Tamandua tetradactyla: one gene and its partners. The protein of the gene in region 3 binds, or shares a complex with, the protein of the main gene of each other region. Links are inferred from orthologs where the notes say so. Each region holds a gene or a part of one and is shown on either strand. Other genes may lie near its edges.

The links.
Region 1: DRC3 (region 3) and DRC4 share a complex: the UniProt entries of both Homo sapiens proteins name them as parts of the nexin-dynein regulatory complex. The link is inferred for Tamandua tetradactyla from reciprocal best matches to the Homo sapiens genes DRC3 and DRC4.
Region 2: DRC3 (region 3) and DRC12 share a complex: the UniProt entries of both Homo sapiens proteins name them as parts of the nexin-dynein regulatory complex. The link is inferred for Tamandua tetradactyla from reciprocal best matches to the Homo sapiens genes DRC3 and DRC12.

What each region holds. Positions count from the first base shown.
Region 1 is NC_135342.1:84,095,913-84,103,459, reverse strand, and holds the start of DRC4 (dynein regulatory complex subunit 4), read right to left. Parts: upstream 3,009-7,547; 5' UTR 2,905-3,008; coding exon 2,902-2,904; intron 1,580-2,901; exon of another isoform or gene 1,453-1,579; intron 707-1,452; coding exon 620-706; intron 1-619. UniProt on the Homo sapiens protein: Component of the nexin-dynein regulatory complex (N-DRC), a key regulator of ciliary/flagellar motility which maintains the alignment and integrity of the distal axoneme and regulates microtubule sliding in motile axonemes.
Region 2 is NC_135334.1:21,541,347-21,548,831, reverse strand, and holds the start of DRC12 (dynein regulatory complex protein 12), read right to left. Parts: upstream 3,009-7,485; 5' UTR 2,829-3,008; coding exon 2,718-2,828; intron 1,754-2,717; coding exon 1,588-1,753; intron 1,174-1,587; coding exon 1,108-1,173; intron 677-1,107; coding exon 557-676; intron 67-556; coding exon 1-66. UniProt on the Homo sapiens protein: Component of the nexin-dynein regulatory complex (N-DRC), a key regulator of ciliary/flagellar motility which maintains the alignment and integrity of the distal axoneme and regulates microtubule sliding in motile axonemes.
Region 3 is NC_135332.1:1,603,072-1,610,429, reverse strand, and holds the start of DRC3 (dynein regulatory complex subunit 3), read right to left. Parts: upstream 3,011-7,358; 5' UTR 2,992-3,010; coding exon 2,936-2,991; intron 2,628-2,935; coding exon 2,452-2,627; intron 970-2,451; coding exon 853-969; intron 1-852. Other genes in the region: TOM1L2 (TOM1-like protein 2), read left to right, coding at 6,798-6,849, 7,330-7,358. UniProt on the Homo sapiens protein: Component of the nexin-dynein regulatory complex (N-DRC) a key regulator of ciliary/flagellar motility which maintains the alignment and integrity of the distal axoneme and regulates microtubule sliding in motile axonemes.

The sequences.
Region 1 (7,547 bases), on a different chromosome or scaffold from region 3:
ATGGACAGATGGCTTAAAATAATTCCTACAAAGAAATTATAGTTGAGACAATAACACCTGCAGACACACACACAAACAAGTGCAAGCAAGAGGAAAGAGGGTGCCTGGCGATGCTACTCTTGTTGGGACTGTGGCCAGAACCAATGAAGAACTGATCACTCAGACCGAGGCAATATGATTTTAAATAAACCATTCTTTTTCCACACTGTCTTTTTCCTATAATGTTTAACAGAAAATAAAACAAAGGAGAACATGACCTGTGTATGTGCTATGATGACAACACTGTAAAAATCAGGTGCACAAAAGGATAAGATTGAAAGAGAATGCAGAAACTAAAAATACTATTAATCAGAAAAACATTTCCTTCCGAATTCCTACCTGTTTATAGAAACGTTCTCCCATGTGACTATATTACTTTTTAAAATTCTAGGTTTTATATCTGAGAACTGAGAGGCTGCTAGGGGCCCTGGAGAGGGCGAGAGGCAGGACAGAAGACGGCAGAAGAGCAGAGACCAGACAGAGGGGAGGTGGACTGCGGCTGCGTGGTGGCAGGAGGTCTGGGGAGCCTGGGGTGTCGATCACAACCTGGGATCAGGGGCAGCATGCAGCCCCCACTCACCTGCTCCTTGCTCATCTCTTCTGCAGCGAGCCCATCAACAATTGGGGTGCCCCTGGCTTTGCCCTTCTTGCCTTTCTTTTTGGGCGCCTTTGGTTGAAAAAGAGATGACCAAGTGAGTAGCGCAGTCTATCAGCTTCCCTTCCTGCTGCCTCAGAGTCCCTCCCAGGCTCCCTGGCTCATGCCCCAGAAGAGCCCACCTGGAGCACATCCACCTGCACTGCGGGTCCACCTGAACTCACACATACACCCCTTTGTGCACATCTGGGAAATCAGGAAGGAGACGCCTTCCTTTCCAGAAAAGACCACTTTATCCCTGAAGGGAAGGGAGCGGCAACCCATCCCAAACCCACGCACTCCTTGGAATATGCCAAAGACTTCTTTGGGGTGGACACAAAGTTTACGTGGCTCAAAAAGTAAGAACCCCAATACCAAACTGTGAAACACCACCAGGCTTGTTGCATTGTGTGGCAGCCACCACTGAGAAGCAAAAAAAACACCAAAAGGCACAGACAGAAATCTGCAGCAATGACCAGTGACAGCAATTCGAGGCTTCCTTTCTTCCAAACATAAAGCCCCTTCAAAGAACCCTGGTTTAGAGAGCTTGAGGAATGAGCCCCCAGGTGGATGGCAAAGTGTGTGGTTCCAACAACTCTAACCAGGTGAGAAAGACACTTCCACCCTAAAAGTCCCCTTGAACTGAGGCCACCACCCGTAACCCTCTGCTCAACTCTGCAGCTCACGTTGTTGTGTGTCTGTCTCTGTAACTTTGTTATGAATATACAAAAATTTTAAGTAGAAATTTTAGGAAATGTGGAGAAGAAAAGAAAACTCACTTATATCCTCACAAACTACTGATCATGTAGAAGTATTCTGCTTGCCTCATTCCAGTATGCTTTCGGAAGATACAACCACGGAAATCCGGCCCCAGTTGCAATGCCCTCCTATAGGCCCTCCTTTGGAGGATCCATTCCAGGAAGTCACCCGACGTGCGGACCTAAGGGCCAGCGCTGCTCACAGCCGGCTGTGGGGTCCTGGTGGCGCTCAGGCCAGCTGATACCCACCCAACAGCTCCTCCCGCCCAGCTGCCCGGTTCTAAACTCAACTCCTACAGCACAACGTGGGGTGGGGTGGGGGTGGGCGTGGGAGTGGGTGGAGGTGGGTTGGGGAGGGGGTGGGAGAGGATTGGGGGAGGGGGTGGGAGAGGGCTGGGGTGGGAGTGGTTGGGTTGGGGTGGGAGTCGGGTGGGGGTGGGGGTAGGTGCCGCTGTGGGCCGCATCACTCCCGGAGCTCCTCAGTGAGGAGGACCCCGGTCCCCTGGCAGCGAAGGGGCCCGGAAAGCCGGGTCCTGGGACGCGGCGGACCCCGCGCTCTTCCACAGGGATCTCGAGAGGACCAAGTTCTCGGCCCGGGATCCCCAGCCCGCCCCGCGACCCCCTCACCAGCACGCCCCAGGCCCCGGGTCCCCAGCACGCCCCAGGCCCCGGGTCCCCAGCACGCCCCCCGACCCCCTCACCAGCACGCCCCAGGCCCCGGCTCCCCAGCACGCCCCCCGACCCCCTCACCAGCACGCCCCAGGCCCCGGGTCCCCAGCACGCCCCAGGCCCCGGGTCCCCAGCACGCCCCAGGCCCCGGGTCCCCAGCCCGCCCCCCGACCCCCTCACCAGCACGCCCCAGGCCCCGGCTCCCCAGCACGCCCCAGGCCCCGGCTCCCCAGCACGCCCCCCGACCCCCTCACCAGCACGCCCCAGGCCCCGGATCCCCAGCACGCCCCAGGCCCCGGGTCCCCAGCACGCCCCCCGACCCCCTCACCAGCACGCCCCAGGCCCCGGCTCCCCAGCACGCCCCAGGCCCCGGGTCCCCAGCACGCCCCCCGACCCCCTCACCAGCACGCCCCAGGCCCCGGCTCCCCAGCACGCCCCAGGCCCCGGGTCCCCAGCACGCCCCCCGACCCCCTCACCAGCACGCCCCAGGCCCCGGGTCCCCAGCCCGCCCCAGGCCCCGGCTCCCCAGCACGCCCCAGGCCCCGGGTCCCCAGCACGCCCCCCGACCCCCTCACCAGCACGCCCCAGGCCCCGGGTCCCCAGCCCGCCCCCCGACCCCCTCACCAGCACGCCCCAGGCCCCGGGTCCCCAGCCCGCCCCCCGACCCCCTCATCAGCAAGCCCCAGGCCTCGGGTCCCCAGCACGCCCCCCGACCCCCTCATCAGCAAGCCCCAGGCCCCGGATCCCCAGCACGACCCCCCGACCCTCTCACCAGCCCGCCCCCACCCCCGCCCCCCTCACCATGCCGCCGGCCCACCAGCCACTCCAGCGCCGCAGATTCGAGCCGGGGCCAAACGTCTCCAGGCAACCGCCGGGCGCTTCCCGTGAGAACCCTCGGGGATTCTCGCGAGAGCCGCTCGACGCGGCCGCCGTGACAACAGCGGAAGCGCGTCCCTAGCAACACGCGCCTGGGAGATGCCCTAGGTTGCCCGAGCCCGCGAGGTTTGGGCAGCATCCTCGCCCCCGATGCCCCCAAATGCGATACGTTGCAGGATGGAGCGAGGGATTCCGGGGCCTCAGCTGAGGTGCGCGAGTCTGTGACGGGGGCCTGGCCCACACCCTGGCCGTGACCCTGATCGTGACCCCATACTCTGGCCAGTCTGACCCGGACCCTTTCTGCTCAGCGGTCCTCTTCCCTGGCTAGAACCTACATTCTGAAAACTAAAGAAACTAAACAGCCCCCTGCCCACTTTACTTTCCCCGTAATTTAATTCACGCATTTTATCCCCTCCCAACTAGGAAGCGAGTGTCATGAAGTGTGTGTGGGTGGAGGGGGGGCAGGTCCTGCACTTCTGAGCCTCCAGCACCTAGAACAATCCCTGGCAGGTGTCAGTAAAGATGTTCTGATCAAATGAATGAGTGACAGGTGAGTTGCAACCCGAGGCTCTGCAGCATTGTCCAAATTAGATTCGAATTTGGATGGGAGACTATTCACTCTGGAGAGTCTCCTGCTCCAAGATAACTGATTTCCACAAACCCTCAGGGAAAAAAATAAAACAAAAATAGGAAAGAAAAAAAAAGTTTCAACTTAGCTCCAAAGCTTTGAAATCAGGAAGTCTCGTGGCAGCTGCCCCTATAGCTGTGATATGCTCACCTCGAAGAGTAAACCACTCTCCACAGCCCCTCTGTGCTCAGAGATGGAGAGAAACTAGAAACTTCTGCAGAGGTTTCCAGACAGGCACTGCACAGAGAGAGAGAGTGAGAGAAAGAATTTGTCATTTTTCTTTTCTAACCTCTTGCTTTGAAAAATGCTAATCATTTTTTTTTATTTCCAAAGTGAATTTCCCATTCCATAGACATTACCTCAATGCTACCATCTGTCATGAACAGGGGCCCATTTTATGGACCGTTATTTCCAAGCTCTCCACTTAGGTATCTTCCTGAATAGCGTTGTGTGGCCGGCCTTGTAGCCCCATCTGCTTTATGTCCTGGAGGACAGCAGAGGAGTGAAGGTGTGCAGTGAAGGAGGGCTCAGGTGGGCTCAGCACCTGGGCTTGCTCAGGCAGCATCCCACCCCACTCTGCCCGGGAGCCCCTGCCCTGAGCAGGACGGGCTTCCTGTTTGTCTCTGCCTCCCAGGCCTCAAGCCCCGCCCTGGGGAGAAGCCAGCTTTGATAGAGTTGTGGTTTTTGTGCAACAGCTCTCAAGGCCTTTGTGAGGTCTGGTGTGAGGAGTGGGGGTGCTGGGGCTGGGAGCCAGGAGCCTGCTCCCCCAAAGAGGGACTTCCCAGAGGGGCTGGCAGGCAAGAGGGTCCATGGCAGGGCAGTTATGCTCTCTAACCTCTCAGAGCAGGGACAAGGCTATGCCAGGGCCCCGTGCTCGCTGGCCCTTTGCTCTTTTGCCTGGCTGGGGTCCTGAGGACGTCGCCGTGGTTCCAGTGATTCCTTTCAGCAAGGGCAGGGGCTGGCTTGGGAGAGAAACCCTCCAGCTGCCCTGGCTCCAGACAAGGCCCTGAGCAAACTCTGCTTTTCATGCTGGATATGTGTGCAGCCTTTCCCTCACGTGTGTGGCTTAAGATGGTTGGATTCAGTGGAGCTGGGTAACTGAGGAACAGATAAACAACTTCGGAGTTTCCTGCAAAAGTCCAGAGCAAATGTTAACCCTTCAGCTCTCCTAAGGCCTGCACGAGGGCACGCATGTCTGCAGACGCAAGGCTTAACTTTCTCTTAGAGAAAAACACTGAAGAACTTACAATTGAAATGATAAGACAAGTGCAGGTTAGCTTCAAGCCAGCCCAGCAGGGGGAAGGTGACTGCGGTGTCAGAAAGAGAAGCTCCCAGCGCTGCTCTCTACTCCAGGGAATGTTTTCAGAGGCTCCTAATGACAGGTTAAAAATAAATAAACTTAAACCTAAGCTTGCCCCTTGCTCCTGAGGCCCACTCTCAGACAGGAACAATTGTTGAACAAAGTGGCTCAGCACAGCATTTACTCTGCACATGAATCTGCAGTTTAGCCAGACCTGGGATGTTCAGAGGCAGGGACAGCAGGGCTGAGCCCTTCCCCTCACCCAGCCTCAGGGGACACGCAGCATCAGCCCCTGCCAGCCAGAGGAGCAGAGGTGGGGTTTCTGGATGCGAGTGGAAGATTCTAGAAGACAGCCCACCTTCTTGCTTCAGGCACGTACTGATGGGCCCAACTTCCCGACAACCCTGTTGGGGCGGGGGTGTGGGGGGTGCCCTTGTCCCAGCTTTCCAGGTGAGAAACGAGGCGCTGGCGGGCTCAGCAGAGACGGGTCTGCCCTTGGCTCTGGTCCCGGAGGCTCCCTGCAGGTCACGGCATCCCTTAGAAGGGTGCGAACAGCTGCGGGCTCCTTACCCGGGCTAAAGCCACCAAACCCTGGGCCTGGCCCTCGACGTTGAGGTGTGATGTGCCCCTCACTGGGGGCTCAGCTCCGTTGCATATCCCAGGGAGCTGCGGGTGCCTCCTTTCTGTCTGAAAGTGGCGCCAGGGGCAGGCACCCGCACTGGGTGGGAAGGTCAAATCCAGAGCTGGGGTGGGGGCGCTGGACAGGCGAGGAAGTGGTGTGTTATTTCCACCTTGGAGCCATGAACGTGGCGTCCACTAGGACCCCGGGGAAAAGCGGGGGGCCTCAGCCTGCGTCTGTCCAGCCCTGAGCCTGACTCTGGGCGAGCGTGTTGCAGCATTGGGCCATCATCTTCTAAAGAAACAGTGAAAATAAGTGTGTCTCTGGGGCTTGGGGACAGGAGAGGCAGGTCACAGGAAATCCCACAGGCTTGGTGCAAAATGTTCCGGAAGGGCCCCAGCGGGAGAAGCGGCTGAGCATAGCACTCCAGGGGTGAGGGAGAGCTGTCGCAGGGAGGGAGGAATGGGCTGCTTGGTCCCGGGCCATCTCCAAGGAACGGACGTGCTGCTGCTGCTGGGTTGTTTGTTTTTTAGGAAATAGATTTCTTTTTAAGAGAAGTTGTAGGTTTACAGAAAAAGTATGCAGAAAATGCAGAGTTCCCATATAGGGCCACACACACACAGCTTTCCCTATTAACACTTGGCCCAAATGCAGTTCCTTTGTTACAACTAGATTAAACAGTATTATAATTATACTATTAACTGTTGTGCATCGTTTACATTAGGGCGCATCAAGTTAATTTTTATTTGGTGTGAGGGCAAGGTCCTCCTTCATTCTTCTGCAGATGGAGGGCACAGGCTGTTCTTCCTCCACTGAGTAGCTGTGGCTCCCTTGTCAAAAACCAATTGGCCTGAGACTGAGATGTGAAGGTGGATTTCTGGACCCTTGGTTCCATTTCCATGGGTCTACATAGCTATTCTTATGCCAGTTCCATGCTGCCATGATCCGTGTAGCTTTGTAGTAAGTTTTAAAATCAGGAAGTGTGCGTGTTCCAGCTTCATTCTTCTCTTTTCAAGATGGTGATGGCCACTTGGGGCCCTTACCCTTCCAAGGGAATTTGACAATTGGCTTTCGTGTTTCTGCTATTTTGATTGGGATTGCACTGAATCTATAAACTGCTTTGGGTAGAATTGACATCTTAACAATATTTCATCTTCCAATCCATGAACACAGAATATCCTTCTATTTATTTAGTCTGATTTCTTCCAAGAATGTTTTGTGATTTTCCGTGTGTGAGTCTGTTACATCCTTGATCAAATTTATTCCTGATTGATTCTTCTAGTTGCTGTTGTAAATGCAATTGTTTTCTTTGTTTCCTCTACAGATTATTTATTGTTTATGGTATAGAAACACTACTGAGTTTTGCATGTGGATTTTGTACCCCACCACTTTTCTGAATTTATTAGCTCTAGTAGCCTTGTTGTGATTTTTTTAAGGATGTTCCTTATATAGGATCATGTCATCTGCAATAGTGAAAGTTTTATTTTTTCCTTACAAATTTGTATGCTGTTTATTTATTTTTCTCTTGCCTTGTTGTTCTGGCTAGAACTTCCAGGAGTGTTGAGTACAGGGGTGACAGGGGGTGTCCTTGCCTTGAGTATAATGTTTGCTACAGGTTTTTACATAAACCCCCTATTCCTAGTTTTCATCAAGATGCGTGGTGGATTTTGTCTAACGCCTCTTCTGTGTCAATTAAGGTGATTTTTTTCCTTCATTCTATTAATATGGTGTTGCACTAAATTACTTTCTCATGTGAACCTCCTTTGCACACCTGGGATAAGCACCCCTTGATTATGCTGCATAATTCCTTTAATGGGCTGTTGTGTTCAGTTTGTCACAGTATTGTTGAATTTTGCTTCTATACTCACATGGGATGTTGGTCTGTAATTCTCTTGTGGCATATTTTTCTGGCATTGGTAAAATTAGGGTGCTGGTGACCTCAGAGCAGGACCTGGCAGTGATCTTCAGTCTTTCGGAAGAGTTTGGGCAGGAGTGGTGCCAATTCTTCTTGAATGTTTGACAAA
Region 2 (7,485 bases), on a different chromosome or scaffold from region 3:
CCTCCTCCAGCCACCTGCTGCGGTTCTCCATCTTCTCCTGCAGGGCCCGGTACTGGCGAGTCATCTCTATGGGAGGGACGGGGTGGGGGTGGGGGCAGCGACTCAGTGGGGATGGAAGAATGGAGAAAGGAGATTAAATTGTAGGTGAGGAGGGCCCAGGGGATTTATGCTTGGTCCAGTGGGATGGGAGCATAAAAGCCTTCTTGATTCCTCTGGAGAGATTCTGAGAAGTTGGGAGTCCCTGAAAACCCGGGGGAGGGAGAGAAAACCAAACCCCTCTCCCCATTCCAGCCCAGGATAGGGATTCTAAGCTGTCCCATTCACTCCCATGGAATCAATGGGGTAATGGCTATTGCTACATTGCATAACCTGCAAAGCATCAAGCACATGGCATCAGGGATCCTGGAAGATCCCTGCCTAGGATCCCCGAGGACTTCTTTGGGTTTTTTAGGATCTGCCTCATTTGTCCTGAGACTGGGCACAGCAAATGTATCTCTTCTTGGTTGTTCTCTTCCAGAGCCCTGCCTCCTGCCCACCCGCTAAACCCACCACATACCTGCATATACGGCCTTCCCTTCACTTCGGGCTCTCTCCAGTTCAGCCTCCAACCCTTGCAACCTTTGCTTCAGCTGGTCTTCAGAGGCTTTGGCTTGGCGGGCCTCGTCCCTCCGCAGGGCTGTGGGTGGTCCCAGAGCAGCCCTCAGATCTGACTGGGGGCCCCACTGAGCCAGCTCCGTGTTTTTGACTGGCCCTGCCCACTTTCAGAAACTTGGAGGTAGAGCATCTAGCCTCCCATTCTCACCTGGGTGCCACCCACCCCCTCCTCTCAGAATCTCACAGACTTTTCACTATTAAGGAGCAAAAATTTCTCACATTCTGGCTGTAAAAATAGCTCCCTAGTTCTCTCATCAAACCTCAATGCCCACCCCCTCCCCACCACGATCTCAACTCATAACAGTGTTTTCCCATTAGGGAATGGTTAGAGGTTAGCTTAACCCCCAACCATAGCTCCAACCCTCCAATCCCTGAGGATGAGAGGAGGTGGTGGAAACAGAAATACCTCATTGCCCCACCCCTGTAGCCTCTTGGAGCTCCTGCCCTTCTTACCCAACTGGTCTCGGAGCAACTCCTTCTCCAGCACTTCCAGCCTGTGCTTGGACTCGGCTTCCACATCTGCCCTAGCAAGTTGACAGAGGAGAGGGTTGCAAGCCCTTGGTCTTGCTCTCAGTACCCTCCTCCCGCGACTCTCCTCCCCTCCTCACCCAATCTCTGGACTTCCTTTCTTCCTGAGGTCTGAGGTTACCACTGCATCCTCACTGCCTAGCATAGAGTGGGTATTCAAAATATATGTGATGAATATATACGGAAGGCTCAGAGCTGAACCTGAGCTAGAAGGGACTCAAGGGAGGGGTCAAATGACTGATTTTCCCCAATTTCCCACCTCCATGGAACCTGGATATGAAGATATGAGGGGGGAGGGTCAAGAAAGCTCCATCTCATCATACAGAGGACCAAATAGTCTCTGGAGGACCGGTGCTGGTCTCTGTGCCAGAGCATGGAGAAGTGGGGGGCACCCCCCCAACTCACCAGCACCTGAATTCTTTTTCTTATTCTGTGCCCCAGCTTTCAGCCCTTTTTCTTTGGTCTTAGGTGGCATCTTCTTGCTATCCAGAAGAAGGAGAAGACTGGTATTCACGTCTGGACACGGGGATGCTTTTCTGACTTTTAGGCTGAACCAAGAGTCCTGGTATAACTGAAAAATTAGGACTTAAGGAATGATTATGGTTGCCGAATCATTATATAGAAATTCCTTTTTGCTTTCTAGTACACTGGAGTAGACAGAGGGAAATACCTGAAATCTCTGAACTGGAATCCAGCTGCCTTGACCTCTGATAATGATGTGTAGCCTTTATCTTGTGTCCTTTGTGATTGTAAAAATTTGTGACTAACCGTCACGTGTACCCATTTTTCCTGTTTTTCGACTCTAGAGTCTCCAGTCTTGTTATCACTAAAGACAGCCCCTAATGTTTATTAATGAAGAGTCTTGGGTCAGCCCAGAACTAACCCAATCAAAATCCAAAGTTACCTTGATTACTGGAGGTGGAGCTAATAAAAAATGGGCCTGCCTGACATGTGCAGTAGGTTAGACTTTAACCTACAAGTCATTGATACCTAATTATAATACCAATCAGCATATTAAAGTCACCATTTTCTTTCATACCTTCTGTGACTAAGTATGTAATCAATCTGTGCATGCTCAATAATCAGATCACCTCTAATTACATCATGTGGGGCCACTGTGCTCCTTATCCTAAAATCTGCCCATCTTATGATACTATAAAACTTTCAGAATTACTGCAGTTCAGGGAGACACATTTTGGGCTGATAGGCCATCTGGTCTGCTTCCTGCCTAGCAATAAACATTTTCTGTCTTTGCAACCCCGGTGTCTCAGGAATTGGTTATTGAACTCACTGGGGAAAAGAATTCACTGCCTTTGTCCGGTAACACCAGGAAAGTGGGAATTCTAGTCTCCAACTCTGTTTCTTGCACTTTCCAGAAGCTTCAGTTCTTGGTCTCTATGGACTCTTACATGGAGCTGTTTTTTTCTATCCATTTGGGTCTTTACACAGAAGTCATCCCTCTCAACCCTCTTTTAGAGAAAAATGAATCTCAGTATCTGCTTCTCCCCCATCTCCCTCACTCCACCTCTTCCTACCTTTAGAATCCTCTCTTGCCTCTGTTGCGTCTCCCTGCGGAGTGACCCTTTTGAGGAAGGGCAGAAAAAAAGTCCAACCAGCAGGAACCCAAAGAGGAGGAAGCGTTCCATGAGCCAATCCAGGGTGGCAGATTTCCGACGGGGGCAGGACTGAGAACTGGAAGGTTGGGTTTTTAGAGACAGCCTGTTGTCCAGGCAACTGGGAAACACAGAGCTCGCAGGAAGGTAGAATGGGCTATTTTAATTCACTCGGCTTAAAACACTAAGATTGCAGAGGGTCAGTCCTCTCCTTATTCCCAAATTCAAAGTGTGGTTTGAGGAGAAAGGACTTTGGAGCCAATTTGCTATGATTCACTTCCATGTAGGAAGTCTGCAATTTGGAGACATACAAATTACAAGCTTTACACATCAGAAATAATAGTGTTGTGCTGATGTGGAGAAAAAGGATTCCTGATAGCCATTTTGGGCAATTTACAGCTCTAGGGTCCATCGGGAAAATGACATTATTAGGCTTAAAACTCAAGGTCCTCTTCAGTAAAAAGCATTTTTCTGGTGTATAAGGGAGATGCAAGAAGCAGGTAGGAGAGTTTCCCATTTCAAAGAAATGAGACACAGAGGGGAGATGGACCCATGTTGCCCAGGGTGTGGAGAAAATGGGACTGGCCGGAGAGACAAGAGATGCGAGTTCTAGTCCTTCCTCTGGTTTCCTAAAGCTGGGCAAGCCATTCAACTTCGTTTCAGCTTCAAGTTGCTGGTCTTTAAAGCTTTGATTTTTGTAAATCAAAATGCTTGGGTTTAACGGGATTATTTACAAGGGTTGCTTCTCTCTTGGTGTATTAATCTCACTTTTTACGTGGTTGATTTTCAATGAGGTTCTGAGAAAAAATTTTGCCAAGCTCCCTGCAGCACAGTGTTGATTGGAGCTCCCTCTAATGTTCTTATCTGATCTTGTTTCCAGTCTGCTTAACTTTTAAAAAAATTTTTTAATTTTATTTTTTTAAATACCAAAAAACACAAAGCAAATGCAAACATTCCTATTTTGATCATTTTGTTCTACATATAATCAGTAATTCACAATGTCAGCACATAGTTGCATATTCAGTATCATAATCATTTCTTGGAACATTTGCATCTATTCAGAAAAGAAATAAAATGAAAACAGAAAAAAAATTTATACATACCATACCCCTTACCCCTCCCTTTCACTGATCACTAGCATTTCAAACCAAATTTATTTTAACATTTGTTCCCCCTATTATTTATTTTTATTCCATATGTTCTACTCATCTGTTGACAAAGTAGATAAAAGAAGCATCAGACACAAGGTTTTCACAATCACACAGTCACATTGGGAAAGCTATATCATTATTCAGTCATCCTCAAGAAACATGGCTACTGGAACACAGCTCTACATTTTCAGGCAGTTCCCTCCAGCCTCTCTATTACATCTTGAATAACAAGGTGATATCTACTTAATGCATAAGAATAACCTCCAGGATAACCTCTGGACTCTGTTTGGAATCTCTCAGCCATTGCCACTTTGTCTCATTTCACTCTTCCCCCTTTTTGTCGAGAAGGTTTTCTCAATCCCTTGATGCTGAGTCTCAGCTCATTGTAGGATTTCTGTCCCAAGTTGCCAGGAAGGTCCACACCCCTGGGAGTCATGTCCCACGTAGACAGGGGGAGGGTGGTGGGTTTCATTGTTGTGTTGGCTGAAGAGAGGGGCCACATCTGAGCAACAAAAGAGGCTCTCTTGGGGGTGACTTCTAGGCCTAATTTTAAGTAGGCTTGACCTATCCTTTGTGGGGTTAAGTTTCATATGAACAAACCCCAAGACTGGGGGCTTAGCCTATAGCTTTGGTTGTCCACACTGCTTGTGAGAATATCAAGAATTCTACTTGGGGAAGTTGAATTTCTCCCCGTTCTCACTATTCCCCAAAGGGGACTTTGCAAATACTTTTCCACTCACTGTTCAAATCACTCTGGGATTCATCGGGGCATCACTCTGGACAAACCAACAAAATCCCATGTCCTACCCAAGGTTCCAAGTACTTATGGTGTTCAAGCAAGCTATCTACATAAGTTATATTAGGAAATGCACTAGTCAAAATATAAATTTTGTACCAAATAATCATTTTTTTTCTTTAGTCTCACACATAAGTTGAAATTTTAAAATATTAATTACCATCTATTTTCAGCATCCTTTGTTCTTCCTTATGCAAAAACATTTTCAAAATTTGTACATTTAGTCACTATCATTATACACTCTAGGCATTCCGAGATTATACCATCTCAATCTTTATCGTCTTTCTTTCTGATTTCATTTATGCCCCCAGCCCTCCTCCCTCTATCATTCTCACATTCAGCTTCATTCAGTGTTTTAACATAATTGTATTACAGTTAGGTAGTATTGTGCTGTCCATTTCTGAGTTTTTATATTCAGTCCTGTTGCACAATCTGTATCCCTTCAGCTCCACTTACCCAATATCTTACCCTATTTCTATCTCCTGATGGTCTCTGTTACCAACAAAATATTCCAAGTTTATTCACCAATATCAGTTCATATCAGTGAGACCATACAGTATTTATCCTTTTGTTTTTGGCTAATCTCAGCATAATGTCCTCAAGGTTCTTCCATGTTGTTAAATACTTCATAACTTTATTCTGTCTTACAGCTGCATAATATTCCATCGTATGTATATACCACAGTTTGTTTAGCCACTTGTCTGTTGATGGACATTTTGGCTGTTTCCATCTCTTTGCAATTGTACATAATGCTGCTATAAACATTGGTGTGCAAGTGTCCGTTTGTGTCTTTGCCCTTAAGTCCTCTGAGTAGATACCTAGCAATGGTATTGCTGGGTCATATGGCAATTCTATATTCAGCTTTTTGAGGAACCGCCAAACTGCCTTCCACAGCCGTTGCACCATTTGCCATTCCCACCAACAATGGATAAGTGTGCCTTTTTCTCTACATTCTCTCCAGCACTTGTGGTTTTCTGTTTTATTGATAATGGCCATTCTGGTGGGTGTGAGATGATATCTCATTGTGGTTTTGATTTGCATTTCTCTAATGGTCAGGGAAGTTGAGCATCTCTTCATGCACCTTTTGGCCATTTGTATTTCCGCTTCTGAGAAGTGTCTGTTGAAATCTTTTTCCCATTTTGTAATTGGATTGGCTGTCTTTTTGTTGTTGAGTTGAACAATCTCTTTATAAATTCTGGATACTAGACCTTTATCTGATATATCGTTTCCAAATATTGTTTCCCATTGTGTAGGCTGTCTTTTTATTTTCTTGATGAAGTTCTCTGATGCGCAAAAGTATTTAATTTTGAGGAGTTCCCATTTATTTATCAGTCCGCTTAATTTTTAAAGCAAAAAAAATTTTTTTGGCATGGGCAGGCCATGGGAATCAACCCTGGTTTCTGGCATGGCTTATTTTTTAAAGCAGATTTTTTTTTTGGTACTCTGCTTAATTTTTAATTCTAATTATTTATTGGGCAATGTTGGGGTTGCCTACCTCTTGAGTATACTTCCTTGCATCTTGCTAGAGTCATGAGTGGTTGGAGAAATAAATTTGGAGAAGTGAATATGACAAGTCAGGTGGCCCCTACCCTCCCTCCAGTCCTGTGCCATTCTGGAGCCTTGTCATCTCACTGCCATCTGGATCTCTGGACACCTGACTGTCTAGAATGAAAACAGAAGAAACTTCAGGGCTTTCCCCTGGAGGATTAAGGGGCCTGCAGACTCTTTCTTTAGACGCCTCTCTCCATTCTTGTCTTCCTCAACATTTTTGGTCAATTGCCTGTCATCAGGAGCAGAGTGGCTGAAGTAGCCATGAGATCTGGAAATAAACAGTCCTTCCTCTGGGCAGCAGGCAGGTTCAGGAAGAGGCCAATTCATGTTTATTTTGCACCTTGGCAGCTTCTGGGTACTTTTCTGGATCCTTCAGACATTACAGAGAAAAGAGAGGAGCCAGGCTTGTCTTTTCAGGTGCTTATAGCAACTGTGACCCAGGGTCAGGTATCATGTGCACATGCTCCAAGTCTGGAGAATACTTTTCTTCTAGTCTTGAAGCGTGTCTCTCATTTATTCTCCCTCCAGAACCATCTCCTTCTGCCCTCGAATGTAAGGGGGTGGAATTCCTGTTTCTGTCCTCCTCATCCTGAAGTCTATGGAGGTTTTCTGCATGGATGATTAGTGTCTGTGTTATTTTGATGTCTGAAATAACATAGCAAAGACAGAGATTATGGTGTAGAAACCATGTATCGTGCCTCAGACGAGCCCTTACTTTACAAACGTGTTCAGTTAACCGACTTTCAGGTGCAGAATGAGGATGTGGTTTGGGGCGAAGGCGAAATGGAGTAAGAAAAGTGCCACATGTCAATGCAATACAGGCTGAGCCAGCTCTAACAACATAACTCGAACTGGGAATGGCATTGTGATCAACAATCCAACCCTATTTCCAGAACAGTTTTAAAAACAGGCCAAATAAACATTATTAAAAACGGAGCCGTTAATAAAAAGTCTCTCTTTATTAGCCTCAGTTTTGAAATGTCAACAGGAAACCATTTCAAGACAGAACTCTGCTTTCTTGGAAAATGATCCTGTCAGGGAGTTTTGAAGAGATATGGAGGAAAGATCATTCTCCCTCCTTTGTTGAAATGTGAAAGACACCTTATTGTATATTAAAAGAAATATGGTCTACTGTAGCCGAAGCAAAGTGCAATTTTTTAAAAAAATATTTAAGACATCTGGCCTCCAGAAC
Region 3 (7,358 bases):
CTGTCTGCGGGTGCAGGAGCCCTGAATGGTGGGGAGGTAAGCTTTGGTAATGGGGGAAACAAAGTCCAGCCTTCAGGTTCTGCCTGGGTGGGCAGGTGGGGAACAGCAGACCCGCATGGGGGCACAGCGGGGCCTGGTCACTCTTCCTGGCCCTCAAGGCGATTCCAGGGCCTGCATGCCACTGCCCTTCGAGGGGGGTGGCCTGGGGCTGAGCTGACCCTGGCACCCGTGGACAGACGTGGCTCGGGCTGCCAAGCCCAGGGATCAGTGTCTGTGGGTGTGGGTAGAGGGCCCTGGGCCTGGGTGTCCGCCTCCTCGGCTGCTGCAACTGTGTGACTCTGTGTCTGTGAAATGGTGCCACGTGCCTGCCTGTAGGGCTGCCCTGGCTTTGCAGCACCGGGTGGCCGAGAGGGGCCTGCAGACTGAGGGGTGTGCCCATGGGCTGCCCTGTGAGCGGGAAGCAGATGACAGGAGGGAAGGAACGTGGGCTTCAGAGTCAGTGGCTGGGGCTGGAAGGCAATGCCCCCCACCTTCCTCGCTGTGGCCTCGGGCTCCACAGTGGGGTGCAGGGAGGATGGCAAGGCCTCCCATGGAAAGCCCAGAGGACATGCCTCACATATAGTAAGCGCTCAGGATGCAGTAGCAGCTGAGACTACTCATTCTGGTTTGACCTGCCCGGTGGGGCAAGGCTGGCTCTGAATCTGGGGGACACAGGCAGAGCCCGTGGCTGTCCCTAGTGGGCAGGAGCAGAAGGTCCCCAAACCAATGGCCCCTGGCTCCCGGCGAGCCCTGGGCCAGTGAGGCTGGCGGTGGGCATCGCTGTGGCGGGAGGTCCGTTTTGAGGAGCCTTACCCAGCCAGACCAGGCGCGTGAGGCTCTCCAGACCCTCGATCTTCTCGATGACGTTGTTGTCCAGCTGCAGCTTCCTCAGGCTCTCGAACGGCCACAGGTTGTCTATCCGCAGGATGTCTGGAACCACGTGGGCAGAGCCTCGGTGGGTGCCAGCCGCGGCCGGTGGCAGGGCCGGGGCCCTGCACGAACATGCCCGAGGACTGAGACTGCTGTGCTAGCTGTTCAGGGTCCCCGGTACAGGAAGGCCGTGGCCCCTGTGAGTGTGCTGGGGATGCAGGAGGACCCGATGGGGGCCTGGTTCAGCTTGGGGCACAGGATAGAGACGAGGGGTGACAGACAGAATCGAGACTGCAGGATGACCCGGGCCTGTGTGCGCTGCTGGTGGGTGGGTCCGAGCACAGCTTAGTTGTGGCACTGAAATGTTCAAGGTCTGTGCCCTTTGACCCCACAGACAAGGAATCTGCAGAGATGCACTTGTACACACGACAAACAAAGATACCTACAGGGACATTAGGGACAGAAATATACGGGAAAACCCCAAGTGTCCATATATGCATGGGGGATGGGATAAATGCCCCAAGCAGCAGAGGGGGACAGAGTTTTGACACGGTTTAAGCGCCTGGACCCAGCCATGTGGGAAGACCACCTGCCCCAGCCACATCAGCCAATCCATTTCCTTTTCTAAGCCAGTTAGGGCTTTGTGTCTGTCACTTCTGCAGCCAAAAGAGTTCTGAAAACCCCTAAGTATAAATAAGCAAATACTAACCGCATATGATTCCAGAGGCCTAAATTTGTCTCCCAGTTTTTTCTAGAAGCCTCATTCCCTGTTTTTTCTGTATTTGCTTTTTTATTATAATTTCTACAACTTATAAAACTAGAATATGCTCCTTAAAAGAAAACAGCACACTAATGAAAGGGGTAAAAACTACTCTGATAGCCACACATTCTGGGCCTCAGTTTCCTTATTCATTTGGAGGGGCAGGGTCTGCCTCTGGGTCTCCCTGGGGGAGGCCGGGTCCCACACCCCTTACCCTCTGCCCAGCCTCTGAAGCTGTTCCCCCAGTGTCAGACCCTCCTCTTCCTCCCGAGCCCCCAACTCCCAGCCCTGGCTGCCCGGGACCTCCACGCCCAGGATGCCAATGTGTACTGGTGTGGTGGACACAGCACCAGGCCTGTCGGGTCCGGCTGCTCTTTTCCTCTGTTCTTATTGGGAATCAGGACTGTTTTGGAGATTTAAATGTTAACGACCCTCTGCTAATTGCACTTTATAGCCACTTCTGGGAAATTTCTCATTTTAAAAAACATGTACGCGCGGGCCGCGGTGGCTCAGCGGGCAAAGTGCTTGCCTGCTATGCCGGAGGACCTCGGTTCGATTCCCGGCCCCAGCCCATGTAACGAAAACGGAGAAACAAAATACAATAAAACAAGAAAATGTTTAAAAAGATGTTTCCCTTCCTTCTTTCTATCCTTCCTTCCTTCTCTCTGTCTTTCCTTTAAAAAAAAAAAAAAAAAAAAAAAACATGTACGCTGTTCCTGCACCTTCAGACCCCAGCCGGCCCCTGTGCTGCCATGGGCCCCAGGCCCCCCAGGGATACGTACTCTGGAAGTCCAGCTGCAGGGACAGGACATCCTTGAAGAGGATGCCCTCTTGCTTGGCCAGCTGCCCGGCCTCCTCCCGGGGGCCCTGCTCGCTCACAGCCAGCTTGAGCAGGTCGTCGTCCAGCACCCTTGGCTCCATGGAGTTGCCGAGCCGGCTCATCCTGCCTGGCGCTTCCCTGAAAAGCACCACAATCTGCTCCTTCTTTGCGGATGGACGGGGTGGGGCTGGGGTCTCCCTGCAGGTACCTCTCCGAAGCCCCCTTGGCCCTGAGCACTGGGGGATAGTGGGTACCACCCAGGCTGCCCAAGACCTTTCCTGGTAGCCGTCTGGGCCCATCCCCCTCGAGCCCAGCTATGACCCTCACCGGGGCCGCAGGGCCCACACTGCTGTCCTTGGCCCTGTCTCTCTTGGGTCTCTGTTCTCTGCCCCCACCCTGGTCTGCCCTTCCTAGGACCCACACTGACCAGTTTCCCTCGGCCTTACCAGCCGGCAGCCCCTTTCTCTGAGAGCCTTGCCCTCTTCTCGAGGCAGCCACACATGTACGCCTTCCCCCACCACACTTGCTGCCCAGGGAGTAGGCGGAGCCTGACCCCAGCTGGCCATTACTCTCCCCCTGAGAAATGTGTCCGTGGGGCTGTGGTATGAGCATGTGCGTCAGAGCTGGCTGCTTGAGCTGGGCAGGGAACTGGGGGCAGCCAGGCACACGATCCAGCAGAGAAAGCAAGAGGGGAACGTGGCAGACGTACAGAGAAGCAGAGATGAGCGCCTATGTGATCCAGGAAACAAGCCGGAGCAGCACGGACAGGCATACTGAAATGGGCCGAGGCTGCCGGCTTCCTGCCCGCCTTTTTGTCCCCAATTCCAGGACCCCATGGGTGACCCAGCTGGGAACTGGCTCTGGGCTGGACTTCCCGCATTCAGCCTTTTTTTCTGTAAGTGGCTTTCTGTGGCTACAGTCCAAAGGGCTTTGGCTGAGATGTCCCTACAAAGGAGGGGAACTGCCCTGGTGGATTTGGTCACACTGCAGGGCAGCTCCCCAGACAACTGTCTCCGGCTGGACAGAGCCAATAGCCCTGGGAAGCCGGGGCACCCCAACTTCATTCTCAACCTCACCATCCCCTCGGCAGAAAGGTCCTGAAGGGCTGGCCTTGCAGGAAGGCACATTCTCTTGCCAGTCTCCTAGAAACACCCAGATTCTGCCTCCTGAGCCCTCTGGAAACTCAGTTCTCCCCCCTACCTTCCACCTGTTTCTCCCCTCCTGGCTTTCACCTCTTTCCTTTGCCTGCATACCTCCCCCACATCGGGGCCTCTGGGGCTTCAGGACCTTCATGTCCTACCTGCCCTGCTGGTCCCTGGTCCTGGGAGGCCCCGGCCCCCTGGCTTTTGTTCCACTGGGCACTGCTGGAGAGAATCCTGACATTGGGTGATGATGTCCACTGAAGACCCGGTGGGCCTGGCCTCAGGGGCGCCTACCGTCTGCCTGTTCTCTCACCTCCTCCCCACCACACCAGGGAATGCAATTTGGGCATGCTATGTGCCCCCCCAGTTCTGGATGGGGTGGGGTGGCATTTACCTTTACCCCTGGGCCTTTACCCTCCTACAGCCTCCAATCCTCCCCCAGGAAGAGGTGCAGCCCTCCTCCCCTTCCCTGCATGGGCCTTCATCCTCCAAGACCTTGTCCCTTTCCTATCCCGCTCTCCAGTTTCTCCATACTGGCTGCTCCTCCTCCTCGGGCTTGATTGATTCAATCCCCATAGACATTTCCAGTCCTTGCCTCTCTCTATCTCCCCACTTCTCTGCAATGCTTCTCTTTAAGGTTTTATGTTACTTACTATCAATTTGCCTTGGGGGAGATTTTAATGTGCTGCATTCAGCAGATGGTATCTGCAACATGGTTGTGCTTTTTTCAGAGAAAGATACCACACTTTGAGAAAGGGTTCTGCTTTCTGATTTCAAAACCTTGCTGTTATCACCCACTTGGTCAAGGCCGGACACCTGTGACCGGGCACCTGGCTCTCAGTCACGCTTGGCAGTCACGGTACACTAAGGAACGGCTGCTGCAGACGCAAGTGCTGAGATCACCCAGGCAGGTCCTGGGGTCCCGACTGCGCACCCTTTGGGATCTCACTCCACCTGTCCAACCCTTCCCTCTCCCATCTGTAAAAGGCAGGTATGGCCTCCCTCCCGAGCCAGCTTAAGAGGATTAACAGCAGAACACACACGCATAGCTGCTGGATATTGTTCATTTCCACACACACTTACTGAGTACCTACTATGTGCTGTAAGGGAAACAGAGAGTTCTCCTCACCTCTTTTGCAGAGGTGAATCAAATAATCCTACAAGCATTTCATCACAAAGCATGCCAAGATCATAGGTATAGGGAACCATTAGAGCACATGTTAGCGCCCCCGAGCAGAGGAGACAGGGCTGAGAGTTGAAGGAGGAGTAGGAAAGAAGGAAGAGGGAACTGCATGGTGACAGCCCTGTGGGGGAAAACAGGACACGTTCCACTTTGGCTGAAGTGATGTGAGTTCGGGGGGGCCTGAAGGGGTTTTATTCTTATCCTAGGCTTATGAAGGACAATGACACAATCATTTTTAATTTTAAAATATGCAGTCCTGAGAATGGCAAGAGCAGGGAGGCAAGAAATGACGAGGGTTGATGGTAAGATGTAGATGTGAGAGCTCTCTAGGAACTTAATTTATATGTACGTCTAATCACCCTGGGTCTCCAGATAAGAAAACTGAAACTAGTTAGAAAGGGTTAAGGAACCATGCCCAAGCCTCAATGGCAGAGGCCAGGTAATAAGACTCGAGAGCTCCTTTACTGAATTCAGACTCATCGAGGGGACTGTCGTTGCCACAGTGCAGTGTTTCTCCCAATTGCTCTGGACTAAGGGCAGGGCCCAGACACTCCTTCCTCAAGGGGACTTTTTCAGCAATTGACCAACCAACCTGGGTTCCTGCGGTCTTGCTTGATGACACAGCTGTCACTGAAGACCAGGGCTGGAAGGCTGGGAAGGTGGTGGAGAGTTTTACACTCTGTCAATGGAGAGGCTTCCTCCCAAGGGACAGATCCAGAAGGGCCCCGGGAAACAACAACCTGGGATCAGCTGGATCTGAAAAATATCATCCCCACTGGCCACAAACTAACAAGAAGCAGGTCGACCAGCCACTTAGTTCTGTGTCTCAAGTTACCATTATCTAAAACATCAGCTCTGGAGGCCCCTGTCCCCTTAATTCTGGAGTCTCAGTGCCCTTATTTCCCAGATAGGGAAACCGAGGCCCCAGGAGGGGAAGGAACTTGTCCAGTGAGCGACGGACAGAGGCCCACATGGAACCTGGCTGTCCATCTCCCCAGCCAGAGCACGTCCCAAGCTCTGAAGAAGAATACGAAGAAGAAAATAAATAAATTAATACGAGTTAAGCTGACGGATATGATGCTAAATTCTGGATTTTATCAGTGAACTGGGGCTTTTCCTTTTAGGAAAGGGGTCAGAGCCGGAGACTGGGGGTATGGAACACTTGACCCCTAAAAATCCCTTCTGGGCCTGTTCCCTGAGGAAATACTCCTTTAGCATTTACTCATTTCACAGCCGAGAAGGGCCGGGCGGACGCCTCAAGGCAAAACGTCCCAGGACAGAGGAAAGCGGAGGCGAGTCCTCCGTCGCCTGGGCGCCCGGCTCTTACCTTCGCAGCGCGGCCCGCAGGCCTGGGTCAGCACAGCACCGCGTCGCCCGGTTGCTAGGGGAACCAAAGGCAGCCACTTGGTTGCTAAAGGGAAGTCAGAAGGTGGACTTCCTGGGGGGGGGGGAGTTGATGGACCACGTGATCAGCTTCTGGCGGGGAAAGACGCTTAACACCAATCAGCCTCAGAGAAAACAAAAGTTTCTCCAATGAGAACTTCCTTTGGGCGGGGTTCTTCGTAGCACCACCTTTTCTCCGCCCCTTACGTGTGATTGACTCTTCTCTTGCCCAGTAACAATCAGGAATCTTTAGATGGACCAATAGCTAGATGAATCAAAACGCACAGACTCCCTTTTGGAGGCGGGCAAGGGGAGGTGCCGCTACGCCTGACGGAGACGCCTGACGGAGACCCAGCTCGCCCCGGGCCCAGTCGGACGCTGCGGGGTAGGTGGAGCTTCGCGAAGGCCAATCGGAGGAGCGCTATGCAAGGAACTGCCCAATAGGGCCGCAACAGCGGGGCGGGGTCAAGGGCCCGGTGCTCGGCGTTCCCGAGGGTGGGGTGTGGGCAAGCGTCAGTCAGGTCGGGAGCGCGGCGGGGGACAGCGGAGACCGCGGCGACAGGACGCGGGTCCGGGCCGCTGCCGTGTAGTCCACCCAAGATGGAGTTCCTGCTGGGGAACCCGTTCAGCACCCCCGTGGGACAGTGCCTCGGTAAGGCCGCGCGTGGGGCGCGCGACGGGGCTGGGGGCGGCGCCTGCTGACAGGCGCTGGTGAGGGCCGCGGCCTTCCGCCAGGCCCCGAGGCCACCCCGCGGGCGAGCGGGTCCCGGGGCCACCCCACCGGCGGGTCTTTGCAGGAGGCTCTTGGCGCCTCACGGTGGAGCCGGGCCTCCTCACCGGCGCCTGTGTCACCCGTGGGTGCCAGTGCCACCCTGCCAGGCGGCACCCCTGAGAGATGCCGGGCACGTCCCTCCCCCGCCAGGGCCCAGCTCCTCCTGCCTCTCCCGGAGGTGGTGCCAACGCCGTGTACTTACCCCTCCCCCGCTGGGAGAAGCCTCGGCGGGCACCGCTGCCAGCCCGATAGCCTCGCTGCTGCTGCCCGCAGGACCCAGTCCCCGCAGCCCCCTGTGGGATGTCACCGCAGTAACCCTCCTCTCCGCCCGTCTCTCTCTTCCTTGTCTCCCCTTTCCAGTGCCGGCAGCCCTCGGACTGGGCACCCTC